Oreochromis niloticus: one gene and its partners. The protein of the gene in region 1 purifies or fractionates together with the protein of each later gene. This does not show direct contact. Links are inferred from orthologs where the notes say so. Each region holds a gene or a part of one and is shown on either strand. Other genes may lie near its edges.

Region 1 (7,659 bases):
ACCTGTCAGTGGGCTTCAGTGTCTGCCTACCTGCTTGTGAATGTGGATATCTGACTGGTCTGGAGGACCACCTGTGGTGTACCAGCCCAGAAACTCCATGTCTTTGAAGACCTGTTTGACTGAGAGACCAGAGGACAATGTAAGGACAAAAATGATCTGATGACTTGACTTACTAATAAATACATATCTGAGAGGGGCTTGGAGAACATAATCATCAATGAACTCTCTCATAGTTACATGAAAACTGAAGAGTTTTTTTTTTTTTTTTGCTTTGCTCATGCTCCGCTTTATTCAAGGTTACAGCAGTTAACTAAAGCGAACTAAAACAATATAGTGAACCTACAAAACAAACTACAGGTTTAAGTCTTTGTCATTTTAATAAAACGTGATAAAAAACTAAATAAATAAAAACTCTGCTTTATGAGGCTTTTCTGCAAACTCTTACAGAGTCTGCACGACTGTGAGTCAACTGCCTTCATAAAGAGTTGTGTTTTTATTATAAGGCCTGTTCTGATTTTCTGGAAATTAACAGCAACTTAACCGACTTGAAAACAAAATTACAAAATCCAAAATAAGAGGCAGAGAATGAGAGTTTTGGTAGTTTTTATGTAATTTTGACCAAAAGACTTGTGTGTAAATCATTTACTTATGGCTCAAGAACTGGATCCAATGCTGCCATCTCTTGGTCAAGTGTTAGAAACCTCCCTTCACATGTTTTACTCCTTGCCCATCCAGACATATTAACAATGTATCGGTACTCTTTGGGAACTGAAACGCCAAAACTACAGAGTCCCATTCTGGCCTTCAAGACTTATCAATTGTTGTATTGTTTATTGTTCTTTGTGTGAGAAAGTCAGAACACAGATACAAAATGTCTCAATTTAATAAAGCAGGCAAGGACAAAACTAAAGTCTAGAAAAACACATCCAACAAGCTGATGTGTGAACTGATCTCCTGAATGATGATTATACCGGTGTTACTAATTTTAGCACAACTCCAGCTACCGAACAACTGAGTCATCAAAGAAGATGCACACACAAATATGTGCATTATTGTCCTTAAGACTTGATGAAAACTTACACTGTTCCTCCTTGGTGTAGTAGTACTCCTTGTCAATGTGCACTTTGTCGTCTATGGTGTGAGACAGCAACTCAAAGGAGTTCATCACCTCAATGTTTCTACCCTCCTGTTTCCCAATCAGAGCTCCAATCACTGAGCAGAGAGACAAACACAACAGCATATGTTTATCTTTAACTTAGACTTTTATTCCAATGCACGTAAGCTCAAAATATATAAATATGTGATTGGATAATGTGTTGTTTTTTCACACATACCCTGCATTGGTCGGCCCTCCTGCGAGCGGATGCGTATCCAGTGATCGGATATGTTTAGGATAACCAGAGGGTGTAAGGCCACAGAAACACTCCCAGTGACCCCTGAGGCCATAACACTGGGGCTGGCTACAGTCATACAAAGACACAAATAAGATTGGGATTAACAGTATGTCAATGACAATATAAAAAAGTCAAAAAACTTGTTAACTGGAAGCACTTTATCAAATTCAAACAATTACTGGAAAGCCAGACAAAGGGATCATTCCATTTCAAATCACCATGGGTTTTCTGCTCAACCATCTTAGAATTTTATGGTCCCAAGCTGTAAAATTTTACCTTCGTATGATATCAATGAAAATGTGTCGATGGACCATTTTTGAAAAGAATACATCTTGAAAAGTATTTGATATATGAAGCTAAAATTTCACAGCAATAAATATGTATCCAATCTGTGGACCATTGCCTTTTTAGGCAAATCTGAGATAGTTGTGCAAAAGGGCAACAGTGATTTGAGATTAAATGAACCAGGTACAAGTGGAAATACTTCTTCAAATCCAAATAATTACTGAAAAAATAGGAAAAAAAGGAACAGTGATCAACCAAAAGTGATTAATATGCTCCTATCACATTAACTGGAAAGTTAATGAACAATGGATCAGTCCTGTTTCGGTATACGTCTAATCAAACTGCATGTATATGTGAAACACAAGAAAATAAGCAGAGACACATCAATAGCCGTAAATCAGTATGAACCCAAAACAATCAATAACGTATAACCAATGCATAACAGACAAAATAATAAGAGAAATTATTTACACTCAGATTGTAGCTGATGACAATGATCTATGTCACTTAGCTTCAGAGCCAAGCAACAGTGCATACACAGTTTTCTTTACATTCAAAATAAGTGACTGGATATATCCTTTTGGCATTAATCATCTGTTTAGTTTGGCACAAAAGATCAGTCTCATGATCGTTCCTAAAAAGTTATATAGCATATGCAATCATAAAACGAGTTCCACAGTTTCCCAACAGGACACCTGAGCAGGTAGATCAGTCAGTGAGTGCCCAATGACACAGTTTATAAAATTAATAAAACGCGACTTTCTCGACTCTGAGTGGTCGCCCTATGCTCGCTACATACAGTCATTTTAATGTATGTGTAACTAATCACACAGATATAGGCCTGCATGTCGGTTCCCCTCATGTACAGCTAATGTTTACGTGGTTGGTGTTGCAGCACTGCCACAGCATTTTAATCAAACTACACATGATGTTAGATTTTACTTCGAATTTCTGATGCAAACTCCTGTGGCAGAGCAGAGGGGACTGCCTCAAACATCCACAGTGATGAATGTACTGACAGCTTCACAGAGCTGAGTACGTTAACCTGCTTATGTCAGCGAGCAAGCTCCTTACGACCCCTTAACACCACGGAGTCGTCACTTCCGCTCACTTATAACACACAAAAACAACATATACGGCAACCTGCACGCAGGTTTTGGTTGATGTGGACAGAAACGATGAGATGAGGGATAAATACTCGCCTGCCCCATCCACTTCCATTCCTCCACCATTGCTGGTCGCCATCTTGTCCGGTAATCCGCGCAGGCGCAGTGGACTGTTGATGCAAAGGACGTTAAGTGGCTCTTCGTGGGGCTCTTTTTTAAAACAAAACGTGCCGCATATTCACGGTCATAAACCTGACGGGTTTATAGAAACATAGGCTGTCTGGGTCGGGGAATGTTGTGTTGAGCTTAAAGTAGCTGATTTGATTTCTGCCCAGCGGCCGCTCGGTCACACAGTCAGTGGACCGGTGTTTCCGGGGGATTGCTGATTCGGGCGCAACCCGTGTGCGTCCATGTACCATTCCGTGTGTGAGGTTTGAGAGTTTTGTTTACAAAATGGATGAATTCTGGGGCTGCAATCTGGACTACTTTCCCGAAAACATTTTAATCGATGTGTTGTCTTACCTGAACGTACGAGAGGTCGTCAGAGCCGGGAGGTAAGGGGATTTCAACTTTGCTCTCAAGGATTTACTAGTTATTCGTCGTTTAAAACAAAACTCAGGTTTTCGTTTGTTTTGTCTTTTGTTATGTGATTTGTGTATATGTTTATATATTTTAAATTGTGGTTTTAGAGTATGTAAGAGGTGGAAACGCCTTGTTAAAGACCAAAGACTGTGGAGAAATGTCGACCTGACTTCATGGAAAGGGGTAAGGATGTTGTTGCCAGTGTGGCTTCATAATTTTTCGTTTCTGCTGTTAATGCAGGCCAGCCATTTTTAGTAATCTAGTCTGTTACTTGGGGATAATAAAAGAAACAAACCCATAGCGATAACTTCTGCTTTTTCTTTTTCTTTTTCTTTTTTTATAAAGATGAAAGACTAGGAGCTGTTGACTCATGTTTTAATATATCCCCTCACATAAAATCAGCACTGGTTTCATCTGTGTCATCAAATAAAAATACAACACCCGGATTTTCCTGTCTCAAAACGGGCCCACTTATACAGTTGTGCTGAGAAATTTATATGAATGAATGCCACAGGAATTTGGGTCTGTGTAGGTTCTCATGGTAATCCAAGGAGCTTGGAAATAAAAGGGACTGGACTGCTTTAAGTTTCTTGAAGACATTTCACCTCTCATTCGAGAAGCTTCTTCAGTTCTAAGACCAAACGACCGTCTTAAGGGACAACTCCCACTAGAGCTTAAATACCTGGGACTTTCCACCATTTGGTCTTAGAACTTAAGAAGCTTCTTGGGTGAGAGGTGAAATGTCTTCAAGAAACTTAAAGAAGTCCAGCCATTTTTCTTTCCAAGCTCTTTACATAGAAATTTGGGGCTTTTCATAATTTCTTTGAACTGTTCTTTGTCCAGGGTGGAATAATTGTACAGAACGCATCTTTAATGCCTTTAAAGAGGAAAAACTAGATGCACAAGTTTGAATCAAATATACACATACAACCCCAACTAATATTTAGTTAATATAAATATTGGTTGCAATTCAGTTAGATACTTTCGGTAGCCATCGACAAGCTTCTGGTGCAACAGTGGCTGCATATTTGACCACTGTTCTTTGCAGAATTGGTCGAGTTCATTTAAATTGGTTGGTTTCCTGGCACAGAGCCAGCTTTTAAACATAGTCTACAAATTTTCAGTACGATTGATGTTGAAGCTTTGGGAAAGCTATTTCAGGAGCTTAATATTAGCCTGCTTTAGTTTTGACATGTCTTTGTTTCAACAACCTAGCTGCTGATTTGAGTCTTAGGCCATCTATTGACAGTTTCTGAGCTGTTACTAGTTATTCTTAACAGCCGTCTACTAATATTTTCTCCTGGCGAGTATGTGTTTTTCTATTGTGTGTGTATTTTAGTTTCTTTGATAGTAAATAAAATTGTCTATTGCTTTTTAAAGCCCCTTGTAAAGCAAATGCTTTTGTGTGTAAAATATGCTCTAAAAATAAACTGTGAGCATCTTTTGATAACATATGGGTTGTGTGTTTGTGCAGTTATTGACAGTTATTGTTTCTCTCTCTCAACACACACATATTCATGGACTGTCCACTGTGTGTTAGGTGACATCCCGCATCCTTTGGGTCCTGCTGCGTCAGTACCTGGGTTGCGGACTAAGGTGCCTTCGCTTGCGTGGTTTGCTGCTGTCCGCACGTGGCGGAACCTTTCTCTCTGAGTCTTGGCTTAAAGCTTTGTCCACAAAATGCCCTCGACTGAGTAAACTCTATCTTCTGCATGCAGACCTGAGAAGCCTGCCCAGTTGCCAGATCCTACCTCCATCTTTGCAGGTGCTGGAGCTGCGGGGTTGCGAGCTGCCTCGTGGCTTCTTCAATCAGACCCTGCCTACTTCATCAGCTAGTCTCCAAGAAAGAGCAGAACCCACATCCAGTGTTGGTTCTCAACTGAAAGGAAGGAACCAGAAAGGAAAAGGGGCTGGCTCTCCTTCAGGGATTGGTATTGAGAGGTTAGTCCTTAACAATGTGCCCTCTTTTACAGACCAGCACCTGCAGGGTCTGACATCATGGGAGAGGCTCTGTCGTCTAGAGCTACGTGACACCTTTCGCGTAACAGCTAATGGGCTTAGAAGCTGTGCTGCCAAAGATGGTGTCTGTGGTGTAGAAGGGCTTTCCAGGCTCAAGTTTCTGGAAATAGGCATTACAGGGCGGCAGGGCTACCAGTTACATATGGCCTCCCTTGGCTTGGGGGCTGGCTGGCTTGGACTGGAGGAGCTAAGTCTTGGTGGAAAAGAGGTGGGTCCAGGTTTGCTCTGCGCCAGCCGCCTGAGAGACCTGAAACGTCTGCGCCTGTGGGACTGCACACTCAGCGAGCTGCAGATAGCCCGGAGTTGCAGGATGCTCCGTGGACTTCGCCAGCTGGAGTTTGTGGACGTCAGGTTCCAGCCTCGTCAGAATCCACCAGCAGAGGAGGGGGAGGGTGGTGAGGAAGAAGAGCAGGACAGAGAAGAAGCTGCAGGTGCAGATGGCAGCAGCGATGAGAACAAGACGGCAGATATGAACGATCCTATTCCAGGTCTGCGTCGCACACTGGCTGTCCTGCTGCCATCCTGCACACTGGTGTTTACCAACTGCTCTGTTCAGAATAATGAAGATTGAATGAAGCTATATGCTGCTATATACAAGCAACCCACATGGGATTTTAAAAATAAAATAAAAACAACAAAAAACAAAACGGTTACATAGGCTTTCAGATCATGTTGACATAAGTAGAGCCGGATTCAGAATGCTTTGTCAACTTTTTCTGACAATGCCACAATAAGTCCATAAATAAATAAAAATAATTTTAAAAGTCTACTCACAATGATCCATGTTTATAGTATTTTTTTAGGCTTTTAGAATGAAGTAACAAAAAACCGAAAAGCTGTACACAGTAATGTATTCAAATGTATTAGGGGATTATTGAGCGATAAAATAAAATAAAAATAGTATGTATAAAAATAAATGACTTCCTCAATATAATTACCTTTGAGGGCTTTAGAGGAGGATTGCAGGTTTCAGCAGTGCAAGAACAACAATAAATGTTTTGGCCCTTTATTTAGGTTTTTACAGTATTATGTTCAAAATGTTACTTGTCTCGATTAAAGCTGACTTAGAAGTAGGAGATATATTGTGATATGGTGTTTTCTGAAAAATCTAATTGGTAACAGTTGCCTAAAACTTCCAATCTGAATTGTCTGTCGTTGACAAATCGGATTACTTCATCACATTGATGCAAACATCATGAAAAACATCTTTCTCATCAGTTTGAAAGGTTGCCTCATAAGCTGAGGCTACTACATTACGAAAGTTAAGAAAAAACATCTGTCATCATAGACACAAATTATATTGTCTTAAGGGATATTTCATGATCTCCTACAATACTCAGTGTCTTTGAGGTAAGTCAGTGGGAAGTCTCTCCTTTTTAGTGCTTAGAAACGATATGAAATAAAATGCAGAACAGTTGCTGTTAGACTGTAAACAGATAAGCAGGTGTCAGCAACAAAGACAAACAAGTCATGATCCACCTGTTTCCTGTTCTTTACCACTTCTCAACAACATATACTGTCAGAGAACATATATTTTACTCTGTTTGGTTGGGTGATGCACAGGATATCGTTGGGCTTTGCATATGTGATTTGTAGAAACTGAGAACAAAAAAGAACCGCTCATCCTGAATGTGTGTATATTGTCTCAATTTTAGGAAAAAACATGTAAGATCTGTGTCATCACACCGAAGTGTGTTGCATTTAAAGCAACCATTCAATGAAGGTTCATCTTGTAAAGAACAAATTTTTCTGAATAAAGCTATTTTGATAAAGTAAACCCAGAATTTGTGCTTGAATACAAATACAGTATGTCAACTGCACCTTTAAAGATGACTGATCAGTTTGTCATGAAACTGCACGTCTCATTTTTCAAGGTCAAATGCTACATTTTGTCTGGTCTTCTCTTACGTAGGTTATTTCTTGTTAGCTTAAGCTTCAGAAAATTGTCACGGGTCATTTCTCTTGTTTTGAGTGTTGGAGTGGCCAGTAACGGTTTTTGGAAAGCGGAAAAACAAGAATTTAAATGAGTAAGTATTAATCCTACACAAGTAGCTTAATGGTACACAAACCGTATAATCAAAATTAAAAGCATCTTAATTAAAAGTAGTTATGGGATTAAAAGTTTGGATTCATGAATTTATATATGATATACAGTATATTTTGCAACTGGAAATCATTTTATTATTTATATGCTACATAACAAATAATTTAACACCTACATACTGTTGAGTTCAAATTTGTCCAGTGTGAACATTTCAGATTGAAAGTGACCC
Region 2 (7,034 bases), on another chromosome or scaffold:
AACCACTGCAGTGCAGTACCTGTAATACCTACAGCATGTTCTAATCGCTCTAATAGGATATTATGGTCAACAGTATCGAACGCTGCACTGAGGTCTAGCAGGACAAGCACAGAGATGAGTCCACTGTCAGAGGCCATAAGAAGATCATTTGCAACCTTCACTAAAGCTGTTTCTGTGCTGTGATGAGCTCTGAAACCTGACTGAAACTCTTCAAATAAGCCATTCCTCTGCAGATGATCTGTTAGCTGTTTGACAACTACTCTTTCAAGGATGTTTGATATGAAAGGAAGGTTGGAGATTGGCCTATAATTAGCTAAGACAGCTGGGTCTAGAGATGCTTTTTGAGTAAAGGTTTAACTACGGCCAGCTTGAAGGCCTGTGGTACATAGCCGATTATTAGAGATAGGTTGATCATATTTAAGATCGAAGAATTAATTAATGGCAGGACTTCTTTGAGCAGTTTTGTAGGAATGGGGTCTAAAAGACACGTTGATGGTTTGGAGGAAGTAATTATTGAAGTTAACTCAGAAAGATCAATTGGAGAAAAAGAGTCTAACTTAACATCGATGGTACTAAAAGTAGCTGTAGATAATATTACATCTGTGGGATGATTATTGGTAATTTTTTCTCTAATGATAAGAATTTTATTTGTGAAGAAGTTCATGAAGTCATTACTAGTTAACGTTAAAGGGATGGTTGGCTCAGTAGAGCTCTGACTGTTTGTCAGCCTGGCTACAGTGCTGAAGAGAAACCTGGGGTTGTTCTTATTTTCTTCAATCAGTGACGAATAGTAAGATGTTCTGGCTTTGCGGAGGGCTTTCTTATAAAGCAGCAAACTATTTCTCCAGGCTAAATGATGATCCTCTAAATTTGTGACACGCCATTTCCTCTCCAGCTTACGAGTTATCTGCTTTAGGCTACGTGTTTGAGAATTATACCACGGAGTCAGGTACTTCTGATTTGAGGCCTTAGTTTTCACAGGAGCTACAGTATCCAGAGTCGTACGTAGTGAGGAGGTAAAATTATTAACAAGATAATCGACCTCTGTTGGAGTAGCGTTCAGATAGCTGCTCTGCTCTATGTTGGTACAGGGCATTGAAGATGATAACAGTGGGTGGATTATATTCTTAAACTTAGTTACAGCACTTTCAGAAAGACATCTACTGTGATAAAGTCTACTCTCCACTGCTGTGTAATCAATTATTGTAAATGTAAATGTTATCAGGAAATGATCAGACAGCAGAGGGTTTTCAGGAAACACTGTTAAAAAGTTAAATTCAAGCTAACTGTAATCATGACCGTCACCACAGCTGATATCAGGCCGAGTCCGTGTTAAAGCAACATTTGGAAGCTTTTAGTGGAAAACAGTGAGACATTGATGTTACTGAGGTTGTCCCACCTCTGCCGAGGTCACAAGCCAGTTACAATTCTGCTCTCAGACATCTGTACAGGTGTGAGCGTACCTGGGGTCCATGCCCTGCATCAGGATCTCATCCTGTTTACACTCCACCATGTCGTTGGTGAACATGGCGTGGAAGTACGGGATGGAGGCCGCCAACACGATCCGGTGAGCGCTGAACTTGTGATCCCCAACCTGCAGACAGACACGCTGATTAACAGACTCACCTGTGACTCACCTGTTGCTATGACGACAATAAAAAACTGAAAACAGCTACATCTGAGGGATGTGTCACAGGAAGTGTTGGATTTACTGCCCTTAAACATTCACAGAACCACTCCTCGCTAGACAGCCAATAAGACTATGGCTTCACATTAAGCCCCACCCCTCACTTATCAGGTAAAACAACAAGATGATGACGGCAGACATCATTACATGAAGGTAAAGCTGCGTTCCTTCACCCTCTGAAACACAAGCGTTTCAACAGGAAGTAGATTTCAGGGTTCAGCTTAACTCTGTCAGCTGACCAGCTGGCGCCATCGATGATGTTTCCACTAGCTTCAGCTTAACGCGCAACCAATCAAAGTCCTTCATCCAACCAGCCAAGTCTGCCTGCATCATTGAATCGGTCTGACTTCCTATAAACTTCTGCAGGTCACCTGAAAGTGGACAGGTGAGGATGTGCTGCTTTATCCGGAGGACACCATTAGTTCTGGAAAACAGCTGCCTCTGACGTGGGTTCACCTGAGCTGCAGACTCAGCACCTTGCCTACTGAGCCGTTAAGAGGATCAATGCTGAGCTGCAGGCACAGGACGCAGCACAGGTGAAAATGTTTCTCAGTCGCACCTGAACACCTCTGAACAGCTCAGAAGCACACCTGGATCATGTGATGCTGACAATGAGCACCCAGCTCTGTTAACTGCTACCATAGAGCCAGGCCCTGATGGGGAGGGGTGGAGCCACCGAGAGCTTCTTCCTGCTGTAGGGGTTAGAGTTAAGGTCCCGCCCCTCCCTCACCTGGCGGACATGTTTGGAACAAAGAGCAATCACGTGTCTGCTCACCTGCACACGCCAGAACGCTGCTAAAAGGCTCCGCCCCTTCTGTGCTGCCTGAGCTCACCTGCGCACGTCACACAACCTCTACCTTTCCCCAGGTGGATCACACACCTGACCTCCAGCCCCGGTGTTAAGAGCTGACCGCTCTAACCGGAAGCCGCTTCGCCGCCTTGCCTGTGGGGCTCCCAGGCAGTTCACAGGTCAGCCCATGACGTCACTATCTGATAATCCGCGTTAGCTTGTTAGCATGCCTTAGCTCACTTTGCTAGCTTGGAGGCTAATGTCAGCCTCACACGCCGCCTCGCTCACCTTGAGCGTGACGTCACAGAGTTTCCCCTGACGTCGGATCTCCTCCATGACGACAAAACCTCGTGCCGGCAGGTCGTGCACTGAGAAGTGGACCAAATCCTCGAGCTCTTCGCACAGGACGTCGCCCATCGTCAGCGGGAGCGCGCGGACTGGACCCTGCGAGCCGCCGTACCCAGCGTCAAAGCCGCTTTCACAATAAGAGGGAGCACTTCTGCTGAGATTAAACTTCAAAATAAAAGCTTCTAAAGCCTTTCATTTGTAGTTATTGATGAGTGATTGCTCATTTATTAGGCCTTAATGTTTGTTTTTGTCAGGATTTAATGAATGTATCAGGTGTTGGCCCTGAGGAGCATCAGATGAGCTCACGTGACTGCAGTGACATCTGATATGATGTCATGAATAATGACTTTATGATTGGTGACCTGCAGCCGTGATTGGGAGCACAACAGCGTAGTTATTTAGTGAAAGCTGATTGGCTGAGAGATAAACAGCCTGAACACATCAGAGAGTAAACTAACAAACCGATCTTGAGCCCGCTGAAACCATCCGAGCCTGCAGTTCCTCCAGCATTCAGCAGAGGGAGCACTGAGTCAGTCCTCATAGACTCCTGTGTTAAAATTCAAATGTTTTGGCCTTTGTAGATAATTTCCCCTTCATAACTGCAACAATGACTGGATTCAACAGAAGGGAGAAGAACACATTTTTAACTCACCTGTTTGCATTGATAGGGGTGTGGCCTCTGACTGACAGGTAGATGGTGACAAAACTCGCTGTAGGTGCTAGATTTCACCTCAGCTAACTGGAGTCTCTGAGCTAGACCTCTGAACTGTGTTTGATGACATTATCTGACCAATAAGATTGCTGCTGTGACCATGTAAGGATTCTGATTGGATGTTACTGATAAGGTGTATGTGTATGCTAAGCTAGCTAGCTAGTAGACAACTGGCTGACAACTCCACCCTGTCCTCCAAATATGGTCACCACCGGAAACAAACATGGCAGCAAGTAATGTTACAGTCTCTTATACAGTCTGGCCTCAGGGATGTCACCTGATGATGGGTGCTTCCACGGTCGCCACTTTGGCTGCAAAAACCTGAAGGTGGCAAGGAGGGGCGGGCCTGATTGTGAACCCACATGCTCACTGACTAACGCCCTGGACTGCAACCTGTCGAGTGGTTGGAGTGAGCAGGTTCCTGGCCATTAGCCAATGAGCATGCAGCTTCACCACTTTGAAATCCAGTGTGACCTAAAACTGAGCCCACAACCTCAGCAGGATATTTTTACACAGGTCAAAGGTCAGAAAGCTGCCTTACCACAGCTATTGCCCCCTGGTGGCCTTCAGACAGAATGCAGGCTTTGGCCGTGCCCATGATTCTTCCTCCAGAGTGAATGAAGGTGAGCTCAGGTGTTTCCTGAACGTTCAGTAGACAGCTGATTACTTCCTGTACTCAAACACCTCGTCTGCTTTCTATTTTCTTTTATTATCAAACAGATTTTTGTACTCAAACTGCCGACCAATCAGAGAGCAGCTTCACACAAACAAAACAGCAGAAAAAAAAGAAGTTTTATTCACAAGTTTCGGTGTTTGACCTTCAAACCCTGAAGAGCACCTGAACGCAGCACTGCCTCTGAGGCTCAAAGTCGCTCAGAGACCAGGATCATGTGACTCCTTGGGACAAGCGGGAGACGGCCTGAGAGTGGATGATGCTGTGGTGCGTTCAGGTTTAGTCAGTTTGTTAGACTCCAGGTGTTTCTGTTGTGAGGCTGCGAACAAAAGGCTGAACATCTGGAAGAACACAGGTGACGTCACATCTGGTCCACAGTTGCTTCATGTTTCAGCTCCGGCCGGCTCACCATTGTACAGAAGGTCCCTGAAGGCACCGCGGCCGTGTAACTGGGTCAGAACCCAGACAGGAAGTTACTGATCGACTTACTGATCTGTGGATCCTGGTTCCTGGACGTCAGGTCCAGTTTTTCCTTCCTGCTGGTGATTTTTTGTGTGTTTCAAACCAAAGCGTCACGGCCTCATCTTTACGCCTCGCTCTCAGGGCGTTGGCGCCGCTGCCCTGCCCAGCGTTCTAAGTAGAATGGTCGTGGCAGTTAGTAGAACGCGATCGACAACGTTTCTAATCGCGCCAATCCAAAATCCGTTTTTAAAAAAAAATTCAGTAAATGAAACTCATCATTACACAGTTTGTCCAGCAGGGCGGCTCCACAGGCACCGTCTACAGTGGGTGGAGTAGAGCGTGACATCACTCAATTGAAACTACTGACAAATTGATATCAGACCATGTAAATCAGATGAGCTCTAAACATTAGCACAGAGCTCATGGTACATTTTACCTTACGCCCTCTGTGTCCCGTTTCTGTTACCATGGAAACGAAGGATATCATGTTAGGAAAGCAGTGGCTGTAAGAAACGGCGAGGCAGCGAGCAGCTGAAACATGAGAAGCAGCTGGTTCGTCCTTTGACCCTGCACAGAAACACTGGAGCAGAGGACGCGGAGACGTTTCCCTGGAGACAAACACCGATGAAAAACAGACAGGTTAGAAAGAGCCCGCTATGCTACGCTCCCCGACGAGCGTGCTCTATGCCGACAGGTCCCCGTTGTCGAACCGTTCCTGGTCATAAACCTCGGCGACCACCTTCCTGCCGCCGAACCAGCGGTGGTTCAGTGCCTGGATGGCTCGGTTCATCTCGGCGGCTTCTGAGAACTCCACAAAGATCTTGACGATGACTTCGGCGTCGTCCTCCTCGCCCTGACGCTCCTGATAGATAATGACTCGCTTCACCTGGCCGAACTTCCCGCATTCCTCGGTGACCTCGCCCTCGAGGTCGTCATCGATGTCGTCGGGGCCGACCATGTTCCTCAAAACCATGACGGTGGACTGAAAGGAGACACGACAGGTCACGACCAAGAGAACCAGCGATTCGCCGTTAGGGGTGGGCGGGACTGAAGCGTACCTCCTGCTTGCGCAGCAGCTTCCTCATCACCATGTGTCGGGCGCTGCTGCCGCTGATGCTCATGTGCTCCTGCTCGCTCAGCGGCTCCATGGCGCCGTCCTGCTGCACCTCCTGCTGACGCTCCTCCTCCTCTTTCTTCTTTGGATCAGCACCAAAGGAAACCGTCTGTGTTGGCGGCGTGGCCAGCACAGGGTTCACCAAGCCCACCTGAGGCACGCCAGGTCTCACTGGGGTCACACCTGAAACAGGAAGCAGGAAGTGATACCTGTTGGAGCACCTTTGATTGGTTAGCATTTTTGAATGAGCCTGCTTTCAAAATAAAGAGCGGTGAGACGTGTGGGCGGAGCAGACTGCCCCAAACTCAAGATGAGATGTCGTGTGGGTGGAGCCTGTGTGTGTGTGTGTGTGTGTATGTGTATGTGTGTGGACAGGGCTCAGGTGTTCCTACCTGTGATGACACCTGGAGCCTGGTGGGCCATGACAGCCTGAGGGAGGCCTCCGAGCTGCTGGGACAGGAGCGCCGGTCCGGCCAGAGCTCCAAGCACCGATGCTCCCACCGCCTCCTGAACGCGCCACAGAACATCATCAGTACACCTGTCTCAAATACTACAATCCTGTACTAAATAATAAATAAATAAAATTTTATTTATATTGCACCTTTCTAGACAGAGTCACAAAGTGCTTCACATAAGATAACAAATAATAAAAAGGTAAAACAGACAATATAAAACTGGCAAAAATTAACCAAAAGCAGGTTTATAAATGTGAGTTTTGAGTTGTTTTTTAAAAACAACTCCTGAGTCCACAGTTCTTAATGTTTGGGGGAGAGAGTTCCACAACCCAGAGGCCACAGTGGCAAAAGCTCCATCACCCTTAGTTCTCCACTTAGTATTTTTTATAGCAAGTAAGCCCAGATCAGATGACCTCAGGGACCTGCTGGGGACATCGGGCTGTAGCAGATCAGAGATGTAGGCTGGTGCCAGTCCATTCACAGCTCTGTAAGTCGAGACCAGGATCTTAAAATGGACTCTATATTTAACAGGAAGCCAGTGTAGCTGACATAGCAACGGTGTCACATGAGACTACTTGGAGGATTTAGTCAAAAGCCTAGCTGCAGCGTTTTTCACAACCTGCAGACGATCCAGAGAACCTTTGCTTAGACACAAACAGCGAGTTACAATAATCCAAGTGTGAGGAAATAAATGCATGTATAGCAATCTCCAGTTCAGAGCGAGATAAAATCGGGCTTAGCTTAGCCACATTTCTTAAATGATAAAAACAAGACCGAACCAGAGAATTCACAT
Region 3 (7,890 bases), on another chromosome or scaffold:
TACTGATCTCTCCCGCCAACAGCAAAGTGGTGTGTCTTTGCTGGGTTCACAAAGATGGTGTACAGCCCCACTTTTTTATCACCCTCCTTTACAACCACCAGTTTACTACCACAAAAATACAAGGAGACAAAAAAAGAACACCAGTATTACCACTGATCAACCTAAAAATGTTTTATCTGTTTATGTGTTTTGCTCACATGGTGCGCAAGACAGACAGTTTTGTCAATCCACAGCAAGTCTCACTATACACTCACTGTGACAAAACTAGCTGAATGTGAAACTTAGTAGCACTTAGCTGAGAGCCATTGCACAGAATTCAGTTATGTGAATACATAATGATAATAAAAAATCTTGACTCTTACTTGGCAGGGCGGTCTAGACGCAAGTCAATACCAAATACGACAGCATCCTCTCCAGCGGACAGAAAGGAGCAAGGTGAATCTGGCTCAAGGGCCAGCTAAAAAATACAAAACAAAAAATTGATATGATAATAATTCATCTGCCTCTAAGAGTCTTAAACAAAAATCTCCTCTCACAGACCTTGTGTGCAGCGCCTTTATGCTGTGCGACCCGTTTCGTGTTCTTGCAGCGCTGTGTGGCAGAAAGCTCAGCCACTCTGATCTGACCATCACGAGCACACATGGCCAAGGTGGAGTCCCCACTGTGAGGCAGGAACTTTGCCTAAATTAAAGCCAGGGGGAGCCCAATTATGCATTTTATAACCACAATTTAACTTGATTAAATTATGCTTATGAATTAGTCACTTCAATCTGTCTTGTAAGTTTTTGTTTTTTTAATAACAGATTATTATAAAATAATAAAAACAATAAATAAATCATCAAATAGCAATTTACTGCTTGTCTCTAACTCAGTCTTTTTTCCACATTCTACATCTTTATCACTGTTTCTGTGGTAAAATGATTATAGTTTCTTATAAGAAAAAGTCCCAGAAAGCTACTTATTTTGTCTCAACAGATGAAACAATCAAATAAGAGAATATTAAACAACTACTCAATAATTTAAACATTATCTTATGAACTCTTCAAGGAAACTGAAGTTTTTATAACATTAAAAAAAAAATCATATTTTTCCTTCTGCTGTATGGAATACTCTAACTCATTACTATTACTGACATTTATTTGGAAAAAATAACGAAAGGACTAACTAATAATGAACCTCTACTGTAGCCCTATTTTTGTGTTTTACCTGAAAGACATTGCTCTTGTGTCCACTGTCAAACTCCAGTTCAGCACGACGGATGGCCCAGTCCCAGATCACCACACGCAGGTCATCGCTGCCTGATGCCAGGCGTGTGCCCGATGGGTTGAAGTGCAATGTGTTGACACAGCCTGTATGCCTCTCTAATCGGCCTTGGAGCTCCAGCCTTTGCACGAGGCCACGAGCCCCACACACGCGCCTCACAAACTGGTGTGAGTCCCTGCCGATCTCTCTGGAGCGCAGCGAGGGTACTGCCCGCCACACAGGACCACGCATGTCACGGAGCTCTGCCCCGAGCCATGCCTCCATAGCTTCATCATCATCGTCGTCGTCATCATCATCATCGTCGTCTTTCTGTTCTTCTTCATCATCATCATCGTCGTCATCATCATCTGAACTGGAGGAGTGGTTAGTGCCGCCGCCAGGTCTGTTTCTCTTTCTAGCTGCCCTTTTCCCACCATCTTTTTCTTTGGCTTTCTCTCGCCTTCCTCCCTCGCTCTCCCTTTCACCATCCTCAGTTAAAGAGTAGAGGCCGCTGCCGTCCATGCTGTCTGTGTCTTCATCCTCTTCCCCCTCCCTGGTTGTGCCAGTCTCTCCTTCTACATCTGGCATAGATTTGTCTCCAGACGCTTCAGCTGTTTCTTTGGGAGCTATAGAAATAGAAAAGCCCAATATAAGGTTAAAGCAACACATATGTATGTAGATGGTTAGTCATATATGGCAGGAAAAATTCATTATGAAATTTTTCCACCATACTAAAACTATAAGAGTTACCATCTTGAGAGGAAGACTGTGTTTGCCCCTCTTTGTTTCCAGAGGCATCCCCCTCTTTGTGTTGCTCTTCTCCAGGCTCCTGTTCTTCAGAGCCACCTATTAAAACCAAACATTTTCTCTGATGAACTTTGACTGCTGCGGAGTATGACACCGTGCACTGCTGTCATCAGTATATAAATTGACTTGGTTTACCGTTAAGCACCGTGGATTTGCCGTCAGCCTCGGCCATTGTATTTGTGAAGTCCTGCGTCGACCCGAGGGACAACCTTTGAGTGTCGGACACAAAAACAATATTAATGGTGCACTGACAACTACTCAAAATCAGACTGGACAGTTTGTGTGCAATAAACGAGGCGACGCCACAGCTTTCATTTGATAAGCTCTTGACACTATTTGCAATAGGGTACAAGTTACCTGTTAGCCCCGTAGCTTCCAAACTAACAGTCTGGCTAATTTTACAAGCTATACACCGCTGCATGTAACGATATAAACAAACTAAGTCGTTTGTTAGCCGAATCACGGGCCTGTTTTGCTTTGTGATATTTAACTATGCATTGTCCTGTATAAAAGAAGAACTGCTTAACTGCCTGACAGTTATTACCATAAGCTAATGCTACCTAGCAAACTTGAGGCTAACAAATGTCGAAACTAAAACACAGTTTTCTAAGTTGTGCTGCACAACTAACCAGCTACTGGTCAAAATGCAAACAAGCGGCTAGCATTGCTTATACTCGCTAACTAGCACAGCTAGCGTTACCTGTAGTCGAAGGCCCGACGAGGCGTACTTCTTAGTTTAGTCTTAATCTTTATTGCAGATTTATTTGCTCCACCTCGCTACTCAGCAAATGAGCTAAGTGCCTCGACTAGGAACTCTATGACGAAAAACACACGACATGAGGAATGCGTGCATAAAGCTTTTTTGAAAAGTCAGACTATATTGCGAGCTAGCTGCGTTCACATAAGATTGCCTGCTCTGTTTATGTTTTGACGGTTCAGCTTTTTCTTTTTTTTCTAGTTACATTTCCGGTTTCGTGCTCGCATGTTTTTTTTCTACCGGAAGTTTGGTACGCAGAGATTAACCATCGGCATCAACAACGACAGTAATAATAATAATAATAATAATAATAATAATATGAACAAGACGATAAACGCAAAAACTTTTGTTCTGTAGTTGCTGAGATCACTGGGATGGGTCATATTGACTGATTACAATACAAGAAACAGTCAGAATCTTTTCTACAGCACACAAAGAGAAATTATATAAGACTGGAATGCAATACAAGCTAGTGAATGAAAACAAGTTATAGTTCATTTTAACGATTTTTTTTCCCTTGGCAACAGTAATAATAACGATAATAATAATAATACAAATAAGAACACATTAATAATACATAAAATTAGTTTATATTTATTGTAAGTGAACATTTCATTTATTGAACATCAGCAAAGCGCAGATAATTTGCAAAACACTGAAAAGAAATTGCAAATGTTTAATTATTTCATTATTTAATTATTTCATTTAAATGTTTTTCTATCAAACAAAATTTAAAAGTTATTAAGGTCAAGACCAGTTGAAAACAGCAAGAATAACACCGGAGGCTACAAGCTCATATTAATATACAACAAACCAGTAAAAAAAAGAAGACCACCCCCCCGAAAAAAACACTCATTCACCCACTTACTCAATCAGGTGGACATTGTGTAAGAAGTTGAGTCTCAACTGTACACCCCCCCAACCTATAAATTTTTCTCGATTAAACGATAACCTTGAATGACACCATGTCATGATATATGTCATTCTTTAGAGCACAAAACGAAGACTGCAATGATCCAAGTTCAGTTTGATACTAGCACAAGCTTATTCATTCATTTATACAGTTCACCGAGATGCCTTGTGAGGAGACCTCGAAGGAACGACTTTTGAGTGAATGTTGCACAGTTTATCCATATTCATTTTTCCACATAATGTAAATTAGCTTCAATCCATCATGGTAGCCTTAAATTTCCAAGTCTTCGGAGTAGGGGAACTTCAGTGCCAACATGTGGCTGATTGGGACTTTTTAATTTTGGGACTTTTTTTTTTTTATTTTCACCTATAAGACCAAGGTGTATGTGTGCACAAAGCCCGGGCTCACAAATAACACAACTGTCATAATATGATAATTATGTGGAGTAGGCTGTAATCCACAAGGATTTTGAAAAAAAGGTTGTGCGTTTCTGGCGCCCCCTGCAGGTTACTGTATACTCTGGCGTTATCACTGCATAAAAATCGCGACCCTTGATAACTGCACGCATGCTTATTGAGTTCTGACAAATTTCCTACCCACACCTTTGATGAATAATGGAAGCCGCGTCTTTTTATATTGTTGCCTATATCAGTGCACAGCAGTCTGGCCAGTATAGGGCACTGACTGCGGTCGTCTAACTTTTCAAGTGGTGTTTATGGTGACATAAGAACTAAACCTGTTTCCAGTGCCCCTTGCTCTAATTGAAACATGCGAATGATCACTGACAGTGCCTCAAATACAAAGAAACCAGCAACTCTATAAGTAAATATGAATATTTTTTTATCCGTTGCCTGCAACTTCAGTAGAGAAACTATAAAGTTTAAAAAAAGGGTGAAATCAATGTTCTTTCACAGAGATGTGGCGAACATGAGAACATTTCTGCACAGCCTCAGACATATGATTAAACAGTTGTCCATGTGTTAAAGACGCCTTACAAAGACCTAATTTTCCACAGCTTGTTTCGTTAAATTCTGCGCATGACTGTTTCACAAATAAAGGGACATATCTAAGTAAACAAACAAACAAACAAGCAAAATAAGAGACTTAGGAACGCAAAGATTACAAAATAAGGAAGAGGAAGTTCACTCAAACACAGGGGGTTTCAGAACAGCCACCCCCATCGGTGTGCAGCTTTCATAAGTTGTAGCGGCTCGTCTGTCCTCCAGAGGCGATGCTGGAGTTTGAAGAGACATGCGGATGGCTCAGGACGCAGCTTCTTCCCCATGCCGTGCACAGACTTAATAAGCGGACAAAGTTTTTAAATTTGGTATTGGCCTGCGGTTTATTCCGCTCTTCGCCAACATGGAGTATTGGAGGCAATGTGCGATGTGGCTGATCAGCTGCAACGTGCTGCCTGCGAACCACCGGGTAACTGCGGACACGGCGCAGGTGTTCGACCTGGCGCAAACCCTGCGGGACGGGGTGCTGCTGTGCCAGCTGCTCAACAACCTAAGACCCCACACTATCAACCTAAAGGAGATCAATCTCAGGCCACAAATGTCACAGGTACACCCATCATTTTATGCGCTACTTTACGAATTACTTGTAACATTGAGAAAAACTGCAAAAAATATTGTGAAACCAAATTCATGCGTTCACTAGCATGCCATAAGCTAAACCTATAGTGGAGTCCAGGAAAGTCGAGGTTAAGTTTATTTGCCCAATAACCACTGCTAGAGAAGCAAAGTAGTTCCGCTGGTGGAAGAGGACGCCTAATCAAAAATGTGTGAAAGTGGACAAAGACATGTTTGCAGCTCCGTGTTAAGAAGATCAAGCTGTAGCAATTCTAAATAGGGTTCCTAAATACATGGAAGAGAAACGGTGGACGCTTTATTAGGGCGTTTTATATCTTGTTGTTCTGCCTGCAAGGAACTACTGTAATTAGGGTACAGAAGCCTGTTCCAGTTTTCTTAAAGACTTAGGTGAGATCTTCCCTTCAAGTTATTCCATATTTTCAAAATAAAACCGCAAATTCTAAGGATTTCCAGCTTAAAGCGAGCTTTAGATGATTTCCATCTATTACACACAGTTTTATTTGTGTCCTGTCTTATTTGGCTTTGGGTCCAACAGATAAGTGTCACTAAAGCCGTGGAGTGGCCTCTGACAGATAGCTTCACCCATTTCTTTTATTCTGAAGATGATGTTTCACTTTCTGTGTCCTGTTCTAGTGTCTTGTTCTTTTTTTTTCTGGATAGGAGAGAAAGTTCTCTAGCTTGTGTGAAACCTCTCTGGCTTGTGAAACACTAAGAAATCGTCCAAATAGACTTTTCCTTGCTCATGCAGTAACCCTTCAGGAGCTGAAGGCTCTGGAGAGATCTGATAAAATCCTGCCTTTGATCCACCCATTAGTTGGGAAACTCTACATTTGTGCAGCGGCTTGCTGTTTAGTTTGATGGCATATGACATGTGTAATAAGCTAATTTTAAGCTAATTTTTATTTAAATCTCTTGCTTTCCTGACTACAAATCACTGTCTTGGCCAGGAAGAGAGTTAAATAAAATAAAACAAAGCATACCAATTTAATGTTTTAAATCAAAAGTGTGTTCCTTGGTGTAATATGTGTATTTGTAGGTGTGCCTACAAATATAATTAAAGCATGCCTAGGTTACCAATATATTTATACTTTTTCTGTGCTCCTACGTTACTGTAACAGCAGCACTTCCTGTTCAGCAGCATACTCAGGCATGTGATTAGATCTTTCTGCATCTAGTTGAAAGAGTAACGAACGATTAAAGTCAAAGATACTGTTAATCATTCACCATAAAAAGACAGTGACGTGATGCATAGACAAAAAAAATGAACATAAATACATTTTATAATTTGTTAGCTGACATCAAATAGTTAGGCACTGAAAGCAAATTATATACACTTTGGTTGAAATGAGCTGTCACCATGATATAATCATCATGATGATATGTTTTTTGTAGTGATGGATCCGCATGAGTGATTGGGCTCTGTCTCACAAACTGTACCATGTACCCATGTACATGTGCTATGCTTTGCACTGTCTGCTCCATCAGTGTCTATGTGCTTTTCTTTAATATTTTTAAAAGAGAGTTAAAGCAAACCCAGGGCATAACAGGCCAAACAATGGATAGTCATAGCCCGCAGCTGTAGGCCACTTGACGATGGTTGCAAAAGGCATGTGTGTCAGTGGGCTCCATATTTTAAATGGCTCTTTCATTGTCATCTGCTGATGGGCTATCTTCGAAAAATGAAACAAGGGCACTGGTGAACACGACTAAAGTGTACACTGATGAAAAGTCACCCAAGACCCGTGTTGTATGCTGACTTTTGGTACAAATTCAAATAACAATTCACATAGCCATTTTGACTGTCAGTCATGAACAAATATGAACAAATACGCATTGGATACGCAAATACCCACTGCCTCTCTTATTATTTGCTTCCAAAGTTATAAAAAGTAAAAGCTTTTTAAAGTAGCCTAGTTTAAGTTTAACAGGAAGTAAACTTAGCTAAACAAATCACAAACAGACCACATTTAACTGAAAATGAAAAAGGAAAAAAATAAATTTAAAAGTTGTTTAAAAAAAAAAAATCATTTCATTATTGTGGTGCCAGAGTTTCTGGGTGTTACTCTAAATGTGAATAAAAGAATGTGCACCAGGGCTGTGACTGTGTTCAAAAGTATGAGGCTGTTGGTGGTGCAAAGCCATCATGTTCTTGCACTTCCTCCGTAGACAAACAGGGCCCCTGGGGGCGGTGGAGTGATTACAGGCGTCTCCATGATGAGCTGATGTGATAAAAAAGAAGAATATCTGTTCTCAAGAATTTTCTTACTTACTGCTTAAATTATTACACATTCAATTTCTAAATCAGCCATTGCTCAGCAATGTGTTTGACAGGAAAAATGAACCGAGACACTTCTAACAGGTGATCTAACAGTGCTGTATACGTTTTCTTTTTAACTGAAGTGACTCAAACTAGTATCTTGAACTCTAAACCAGAACTTTATGTCCAATGTTTCTGTTGGCTGCCGTCTTCCCACTAAGACAAAGCTCCTGATAGGAAATGACACCAACAGAGGACATATTTGGCGGTTTCATTTCACATTGTAAAACTTTCAATTTTCATTTTCAGTTTGTAGAGT
Region 4 (7,350 bases), on another chromosome or scaffold:
TGGTGGGTGCAGCAAAGCCTGCGTCTCTAGCAGCCAGCAGGGGGCAGATTGTTAAATTGTACAGAAGTGCATGAGAAAAGGTCCTCGGCTCCCTCTTAGTATGAACTCAGTAAACACTTTGCTGATGAGTTTATGGCTGCAAAGCACATTATGTTTGTTTTGTAAACTGTGGTCCCATTAGAGTCAAAAAGGAGGGTGAAGCTGGATGTTTCAGACTTTGTTATGAACAAATCACCATAAGAAGCTGCAGTGTGGAAACGCGATCAGATTTGGATAATCCCAAATCTTTTATAGTGAGGAACGGAAAACAAAGAAAGGGATGGATACACTTCTGTTTGTGCTGTTGTCTTGTACAGCACTGTGACAGTGTTACAATAAAGCATTAACGGTATGTAAAACATCTACTTCAAACTGTCAACAGCGACAAAACAACACAAGGACAACGTGACAAACACCACAGCCAACTGAGAGGAGGTGCAACAATACAACAAAAGTAAATCTGAATTCACACAAAGTCATTTTCGGTTTAACTCACTTTTTACTTAGTCACCTCACAGTATAAGGAAAAGACACTATCCTGGGTATCTGTGTTCTGTTTGTTCCTCTTCTCTCGCTTCCCTTATTTTAAGCCTACTTTTTTCCCCTTGTGACGATTAAACTTAACAAAACAGACATCTTGATGTTTTCAGTAAAACGTGCCTGCCTTGATATAAGCGTTCCAGTTACCTGACACTAAAAGTAAAAAACAGATGATCCCTTATGAGCAGCACATGGCGACAGCAGGGAGGAAGAACTCCCTTTACCAGGAAGTCTTCTCCAACAGAATCACTGTGAGGTGCAGCCATCTGTTGAGACTAACCGCAGGCTAAAGATACCATACCGCCATCAGGGAAGTTTTTACTCTGTGGAATTAAGTTATGTTTTTTCCCTTCATTTCTCAGAGGCTTTTTGGAGGAGTTATAACTACAGTGCCATGAAAAAGTAGTAGTCAGGACTGGGTGTGGCTAAGTGAAACTGAACTCAGTTTTCTAAAAAATGCGGTTAATCACAATTAATCTATGATTTAACATAGATAACATAGTTAACATATTTACTTTTTCACACAGGGCAGGTAGATTTGGATAACTTTTTTCTCTTAATAAATGAAATTATCTTTTAAAGACTGCATTTTGTATTTACTCAGGTTATCTTTGTCTATCATGTCTATTAAAACTTATTTGATGATCTAAAACATGACAGATATGTAAAAATCTATGTATTTTAAATACCACAGTTGAAGTGTATAAATCATCCTTGTGTAGGACTCACACTGTGGTTTCTGCTGTGAAATGATTCATGTCACCTTTAACCTCCAAATGTGGGCCTTTTTTGCTCCTTAAAAAATAAAAAGTAAACTATTCATCTGGTGTGCATGGACACAAGTCAGTGCAGGTCAAAGTTCATGTCAAGGAGAAAGAATCACTAGATGAAAATTCACAGTTACTCTCCAAACTGTTGTCGGACTGTGTTGGCGTGTTAGTGTATATGTTACTGTAGCTCCTGTACACACACCTCTCGCAGTGTATCCACCCATGACGTAGATCATACCCTGGCACTCACAGGCAGAGAACTCAGCCAGCGGGTCGGGCATCGAGGAGACGCAGGTCCACCAGTCCTGCTCAGGGCTGTAACACTCCACTGTGCCCAGACACTGGCCTCCCACAGCGTACAGCTTTCCCTGTACGGCCAGCAGCTTGAAGTTGGACCTGCACGAGAAGAATCAGTGATTGAAACGCGATGGCAAACAACCAATAAGGACCAAGAGGGGACTTGTGTTACCTCTTCTGGTTGAGCGGCGCCACCTGGTTCCACTCATTCCTGCAGGGGTTGTAGCAGTGCACAGCGGAGATCTCCTGACTCGTCATCCTGTACCCGCCGACTATGAACAAGTAGTTATCGAGGATGGCCGACCCATACCCCCTGACGTTGATCATATCTGGAGGGAGGTTATTGGCGAGGGGCTTCCAGCGCTGATCCACCTCTCCATACCTCAGCATGGACCAGGGCTCATCCTGATCCGGCACATCCAGGGACAGGCTGGTGAAGTCTCCGATGGCCACCAGGGTGGCAGTGCCATTCATGCGCATCTCCTTGACTTGGTCCCTGACAGCAGAGGCCAGGCTGCTGAACTCAGGCCGCCTCAGCATGGGGTGGTAGTAGCAGGTCATGTATTTGAGGCAGGCGGTACGCAGGTCGTGAGTCCCATACACCTCGGAGAGGCTATACAGCTCCACGCAGTTCTCCAGCCGGATCTCCGAAGTGAGGAGCTTAAGGATGGAGGTGACCTGGAGGAAGGAGGCGGTCTCGATCAGGTCCTCCAGAGTCTCGTTGACTACCTGGACTTTGGAGGTGTTGATGAACTCCAGGACCAGCTCCAATCCAAGGACGCTGAGCCCCTGCAGCTGCACCGAGTCCTCCGTGGACTCCCTCATCCCCGAGCTGTACAGAGCTCGGAAGTAGTCACTCTTCTCGATCAGCTTCTTTTTATTCACTTCGTAGGTTTTGTCATCCATGATGATGGCGATGATCTGCTCGGATGACATGGTGAAGATGGTGGTTTTGGTCTCTCAGGCTGAGTTTTGTCTTTGCTTTCCCTTTCTCAGTCTCCCGAGCCCGTGGCCGTTTACATTTCACCGGCCAGGGAGCTCCGTGCCCGGTCTATATATGGTAATGTTCAGCCCGTAGATCGCCATGGAGCTGGGAAGCTAATCAGCTAGCTGCAGAGGCGCTGCTACCGCTCCCGGATAAACCGGCCAAAAGAAGCTTTTCCCCGCGATGGCATTCCTCCACAACTAGGCCCCACTTTCTGAGAATGTTGGTTGAATATCGCGGTTTGTTTCTCAGCCTGCCAGGAAGGTTTTCATAACATTTTACGAGCCTTGTGAGGGACAATGTCGAGCTGTCAAATTTAACTGTTTTGATTCTGCACCCCACATCATATGCGTCTTCTTCTTCCATTGGAATTATCGGCAGATTAGGCGTATCAAAGACACCTTACTGCCCCCAGCAGGTCATTAGTAGAATTACATAACATGGTTTAAATTAATGATAAGTTGAATGTTTGATCAACTTTTTGATTAGGCTATTGATTGTTGTTATTGTTTATTCATTTATTTCTAATTACTTGTTTTATTTACTTTGGCTAATTTTGATTAGTTAGTCGTTAATATTTATTTAGGTTTTTTTAATTAAATAAAATTTAATTTGGGGTTTTGTAAGAGATGCTATTGGCTATGGTCACCTCAGCTTGACCATAATTTCTTCATATTTTGGTTCCAAGGAGCCAGACTTTCTTGTCATTTTTAAAGTGGACTTGAGCAACAGTTCTCCAGGATTTCTGAATATCTTTTATCTAAGTTTTTCTTTGGACATTGGCTGATTTTTTAATCATTTTCAGTCCAGTTCTTGTACCTATTTACAGAAGAATGATTTCCACTTATTAGGTCATTTAACACTAACCCTTGAGTCCATGAAGCACTAAAAAAAAACAACAATGCTGTGTCTTGCAATAATACATATATGACAAACATAACATAACAAAACAAAATGTAAAATAAATATTATAAAGTATATAAACAAAGTAACGGTACCTTGGAGTTGTGTCACTGGCGTTGCTGATTAAGAAAAGCCTTTTATTTTGAAGGAAAACACCGCGGTGCCGACATCTAATGACTTCCTGTAACATGTTTCCTGCAGCTCTGCAAAAAAATTGGTCTAGTGAGTCCAGTATCTCTTTTCATTTTTCAGACCTTTTTTTTTATAGCATAATTTCATATGAAGCTTTTAGTTGAAGTTGTTAGGGAACTGAAAAAGAAAGAAGAAAGAAATTTTGTGAGAAAAACAAGACTGACAACATGTGGTTTGATGCCCTGTAGCTGCCATTTTAGAAAAAAAAATTAATAGAAGTTGTCACTGGTATCACCTTGATTATGAATCACAACAGACCTGTTACAACTAACTAACACCACTGTTAACCATTAACAGAAAAAAAAACTTAATCGAAAGCTCTTCATGAAGTTTTAAAATAATAATAATTACTATTAGTAGTAGTAGTAGTAGTAGTAATATTATTAGTATTATTAATCCTGTGTCTAAATCAATTCCACCCAATCCCTGGGTGGTTTATTGTGTCACTGATGTTACTGTGCTTTGGGGTTTGGGGAATTTTTTTTCCATTGTCACAGCAAATGAACTCTGCCAAACTGTACAAGATCCATTGATTTCTGTTACACTTAAGGGTCAACATCAAAAGGATTGTGACACTACTCACTATAACAGTTGCATAGCAAATAAATGGCTTCACAAATGAACAAACACTGTGCAATCACACTTAACAAATGAAAATAAGAAAACATAATCCCCTGATTTGTTGCATTATGAGTATTCTTATGCAAGTCCGACTACATGTGCTGAAGAGACTGAGGAAATAATATTTATCAAAAGCCTTTTATATTGCAGAAGGAGTGAGGTAACACCATCCAGTCTGTAAGTTGATGTACAAAAAGAGATTAAAAATCATTAATCTGTCTTTTTTGTGAATATTAAAGTGAACATGTTATGTTATAACATGATCTATGTGTAAACATTAGAAAAATAAATCAATTTTAGGACATTTCACCATCGCCAATTCGGAGTTTATGTAGAATGACCCATAAATACAGACAGTTCAGTTTTAAAAATGTTGAATCCTTGTTACACGGTGCTTTATTTTTAGGTATAACTAGTTATTGTAATGCTGCAGAGAGAAAATTACAAACTAAATAAATGTTTAGAAAATATTTTTACATTTATTGTATTTTAAATTATAAACTTTTTTCCATCAGATGCAGATCTCATTATTCACATTAATGATTAACTCTCTTCACTAACTAATATTCAGAGACATTTATTTTAAGATCTTACACAGTTTTTACTGAGAAAAAGGACACCGGTGCACTGCATAGATTTTTAATTAAAAATAATAATAATAACCACACATTGTAAAACCCTGGAGAATAAACACAGGACAAAGGTGTTGTGATAAAAATTGAGGTTCATAGGACGTAACAAGACAGCTTTAATTTGAAAACCTGTACCGGAAACGATTTTTATTATCAGCCTGTTGACGCTGTTGTGGGTGGAGGAGGGGAGAATAGGTGAGACAAGCAGGCGGGAGCATCAATGATAGGGACTCTTCTCGTGCGGCCCGCTTCGTGTTTGCGGCTCCAGGCAGCGGACACCCGGCGCTCTGTGACCCGGACTGAGGATGAGGGAGCAAGCGTGGGCCTCCCGGTCCGCACGCTGCAGCTTTTTACTCAGCATCGCCACCACCACCACCACCATCATCATCATCATCATCGCCGCTCATACATCATCAGTTAAAGGCGCCGGAGACCTGCGGCCGTGTAATAAGGTAAGCGCCTGTGCTGTCATCGTTATTATAATTATAATATCTGCTGCTTTTTAAAAACACAGATCCCGCTCCGCTTTGCTTTTTCTTTATCCTAGAATAAATGATCAGGGCAACAAGTCAAAATGGCCATGCATGCAGGAGTAAATGTGCAGAATAGATTAAGATAAAATAAAATAAAATAAAATAAAGAAAAGAAAAGAAGGATTAAAAAAACAAAAATAAATAAAAACAATGTAAGGGCTCCAAGTCGTTTTGCTGCTTTACATTGGCTCGGCTCAGCTCGGGTCTGGATCTATGCGCGCCTCGTCCTTCACGTCGCTGATCGGCTTAAAATGCCGTTCATGTTGACTATAAACACCCAGCTGGAATCCTTCTCTCATCCCCTTCTGAGCAGCCTCATGCCGGCCAGCCCGACCGGGATTACTCGCTGAGGAGGACAGAGAAAGGCTGCTGGCACGGTTCGCTCTCTCAAGCCTGTAAGGATGACTTGAAGGAATAGAAAAAGAACCTTTTTGCCCTCTAGATCAGCGGTCCCCAACCTTTTTTGCGCCACGGACCGGTTTATGCCCGACAATATTTTCACGGACCGGCAATGAGGTGTCGCGGATGAATACAACAAAATAAAACTAGTGCCGGTACCGAAAAAAAGAAGATTTATTCATAACACACGTGAAAAGACCCAAGAAAACCGAGTTAACGATAAAAACGATAACAAAATAACGTTGAAAACCGATAAAAACCCTGAAAACCATACGTTTCACACCTGAGCCTCAACTCTCGCGGCCCGGTACCAAACGACTCACGGACCGGTACCGGTCCGAGGCCCGGGGGTTGGGGACCGCTGCTCTAGATGGTGAGATTTTCATGCGAGGACTGATACTCTGTAAATGAAAAAATAGCTTTATTCTTATGGTCACTAGGGGGCGACAGCTGTGGTTGAAAATCGAAGTCCGGTTATGAAGAAATGTGTGATCCGGCAAACACTTTTAGCGATTATTTATGGACTCATTTGCTAGTTTTTAGTAATACTGAACAGATCGAACACTAAAAGTGCTTTATATTGTGAGATAAGTATCCTGCCATATTAAAGAGAGAATGATGAGCCTGTGGGCAAGGACATGGTGAAAGAGGGGAGGAAGAACTTTCTTTTAGCAGGAACAGACCACAGCAAAATGTTAGCATTCAAAATATCTTAAAAATATGTCATACCAGGATAAATATGTATCCTTATCACTGAAGATTAGACTCTGTATAACATATATATGACAACAAAAATTTCATATGGGTTAACAAAAACAAGTTTATTTAGTTTGTTAAATCAAAGTGACTTATTTAATATCCTTCTCTGTGAATACACTCCTGCATTTTATGACGTCCTGCCTTCACCTGGTCCAGAGAAAAGCTGCTAGTTATGAACCACTTGAGTATTTAAAACAGAAAACAAAAATAAAAAAGTTAATAAAGTGCATGCAATCCTAGCTAACATTATCCTGTTAGATAGTTAACTAAGTTATCAGTTACTGCAAACACTGTGGCAGTCACAACTCCATATAATGTCAGACAATATAAATAAACTATAAATGTTCTGAAAGCTAAAAAAAGTACAATTAAAATAGGAAATAACAACTACTGATCATTAACCGGATCACTGTGCATGTAAATTGAAGCACAATTCAACTGTGCTATTACTTTTGAGGTCACAAATTAAGTTTAATGGCCACTTACTATCATTTCCTATTGAAATGCACAATACAAGAGGGTTAGTGAACCTTTCATCTAACTCTTGGCAAAAATAATAGAAGCAAATGTCTCTAAATGGTAAATAAAAATGTTCCACATCTTAATATAACTCAATAACTAAAAAACTCAGCATCATTTCTCGTCAGAGTTTGAATTCTGGGTAATAAAATAGGATCCAG

The links. The genes of interacting proteins can lie anywhere in the genome.
Region 2: the proteins of cops6 (region 1) and klhl18 purify together in Homo sapiens (affinity purification with mass spectrometry; 3 studies listed by BioGRID and IntAct, with this or other methods). This does not show direct contact. The link is inferred for Oreochromis niloticus from reciprocal best matches to the Homo sapiens genes COPS6 and KLHL18.
Region 3: the proteins of cops6 (region 1) and dcaf8 purify together in Homo sapiens (affinity purification with mass spectrometry; 3 studies listed by BioGRID and IntAct, with this or other methods). This does not show direct contact. The link is inferred for Oreochromis niloticus from reciprocal best matches to the Homo sapiens genes COPS6 and DCAF8.
Region 4: the proteins of cops6 (region 1) and klhl42 purify together in Homo sapiens (affinity purification with mass spectrometry; 3 studies listed by BioGRID and IntAct, with this or other methods). This does not show direct contact. The link is inferred for Oreochromis niloticus from reciprocal best matches to the Homo sapiens genes COPS6 and KLHL42.

The regions. Positions count from the first base shown.
Region 1 is NC_031966.2:16,067,130-16,074,788, forward strand, and holds the start of cops6 (COP9 signalosome complex subunit 6), read right to left. Parts: upstream 3,007-7,659; 5' UTR 2,925-3,006; coding exon 2,882-2,924; intron 1,461-2,881; coding exon 1,335-1,460; intron 1,213-1,334; coding exon 1,081-1,212; intron 120-1,080; coding exon 31-119; intron 1-30. Other genes in the region: uncharacterized protein LOC100705850, read left to right, coding at 3,239-3,339, 3,475-3,550, 4,908-5,957. UniProt on the Homo sapiens protein: Component of the COP9 signalosome complex (CSN), a complex involved in various cellular and developmental processes.
Region 2 is NC_031982.2:34,538,906-34,545,939, reverse strand, and holds the start of klhl18 (kelch-like protein 18), read right to left. Parts: upstream 3,005-7,034; 5' UTR 2,895-3,004; coding exon 2,766-2,894; intron 2,737-2,765; exon of another isoform or gene 2,463-2,736; intron 2,302-2,462; exon of another isoform or gene 2,287-2,301; coding exon of another isoform or gene 2,278-2,286; intron 2,241-2,277; exon of another isoform or gene 2,059-2,240; intron 2,053-2,058; exon of another isoform or gene 2,021-2,052; coding exon of another isoform or gene 1,913-2,020; intron 1,595-1,912; coding exon 1,464-1,594; intron 1-1,463. Other genes in the region: poly(U)-binding-splicing factor PUF60a, read right to left, coding at 5,355-5,654, 5,731-5,969, 6,179-6,293. UniProt on the Homo sapiens protein: Substrate-specific adapter of a BCR (BTB-CUL3-RBX1) E3 ubiquitin-protein ligase complex required for mitotic progression and cytokinesis.
Region 3 is NC_031982.2:23,773,110-23,780,999, forward strand, and holds the start of dcaf8 (DDB1- and CUL4-associated factor 8), read right to left. Parts: upstream 3,005-7,890; 5' UTR 2,750-3,004; intron 2,259-2,749; 5' UTR 2,222-2,258; coding exon 2,185-2,221; intron 2,089-2,184; coding exon 1,993-2,088; intron 1,869-1,992; coding exon 1,207-1,868; intron 682-1,206; coding exon 541-681; intron 458-540; coding exon 363-457; intron 106-362; coding exon 1-105. Other genes in the region: guanine nucleotide exchange factor VAV3, read left to right, coding at 5,082-5,285. UniProt on the Homo sapiens protein: May function as a substrate receptor for CUL4-DDB1 E3 ubiquitin-protein ligase complex.
Region 4 is NC_031981.2:17,144,532-17,151,881, forward strand, and holds the start of klhl42 (kelch-like protein 42), read right to left. Parts: upstream 3,005-7,350; 5' UTR 2,583-3,004; coding exon 1,819-2,582; intron 1,746-1,818; coding exon 1,552-1,745; intron 1-1,551. Other genes in the region: UPF0577 protein KIAA1324-like, read left to right, coding at 5,285-5,431. UniProt on the Homo sapiens protein: Substrate-specific adapter of a BCR (BTB-CUL3-RBX1) E3 ubiquitin-protein ligase complex required for mitotic progression and cytokinesis. The BCR(KLHL42) E3 ubiquitin ligase complex mediates the ubiquitination and subsequent degradation of KATNA1.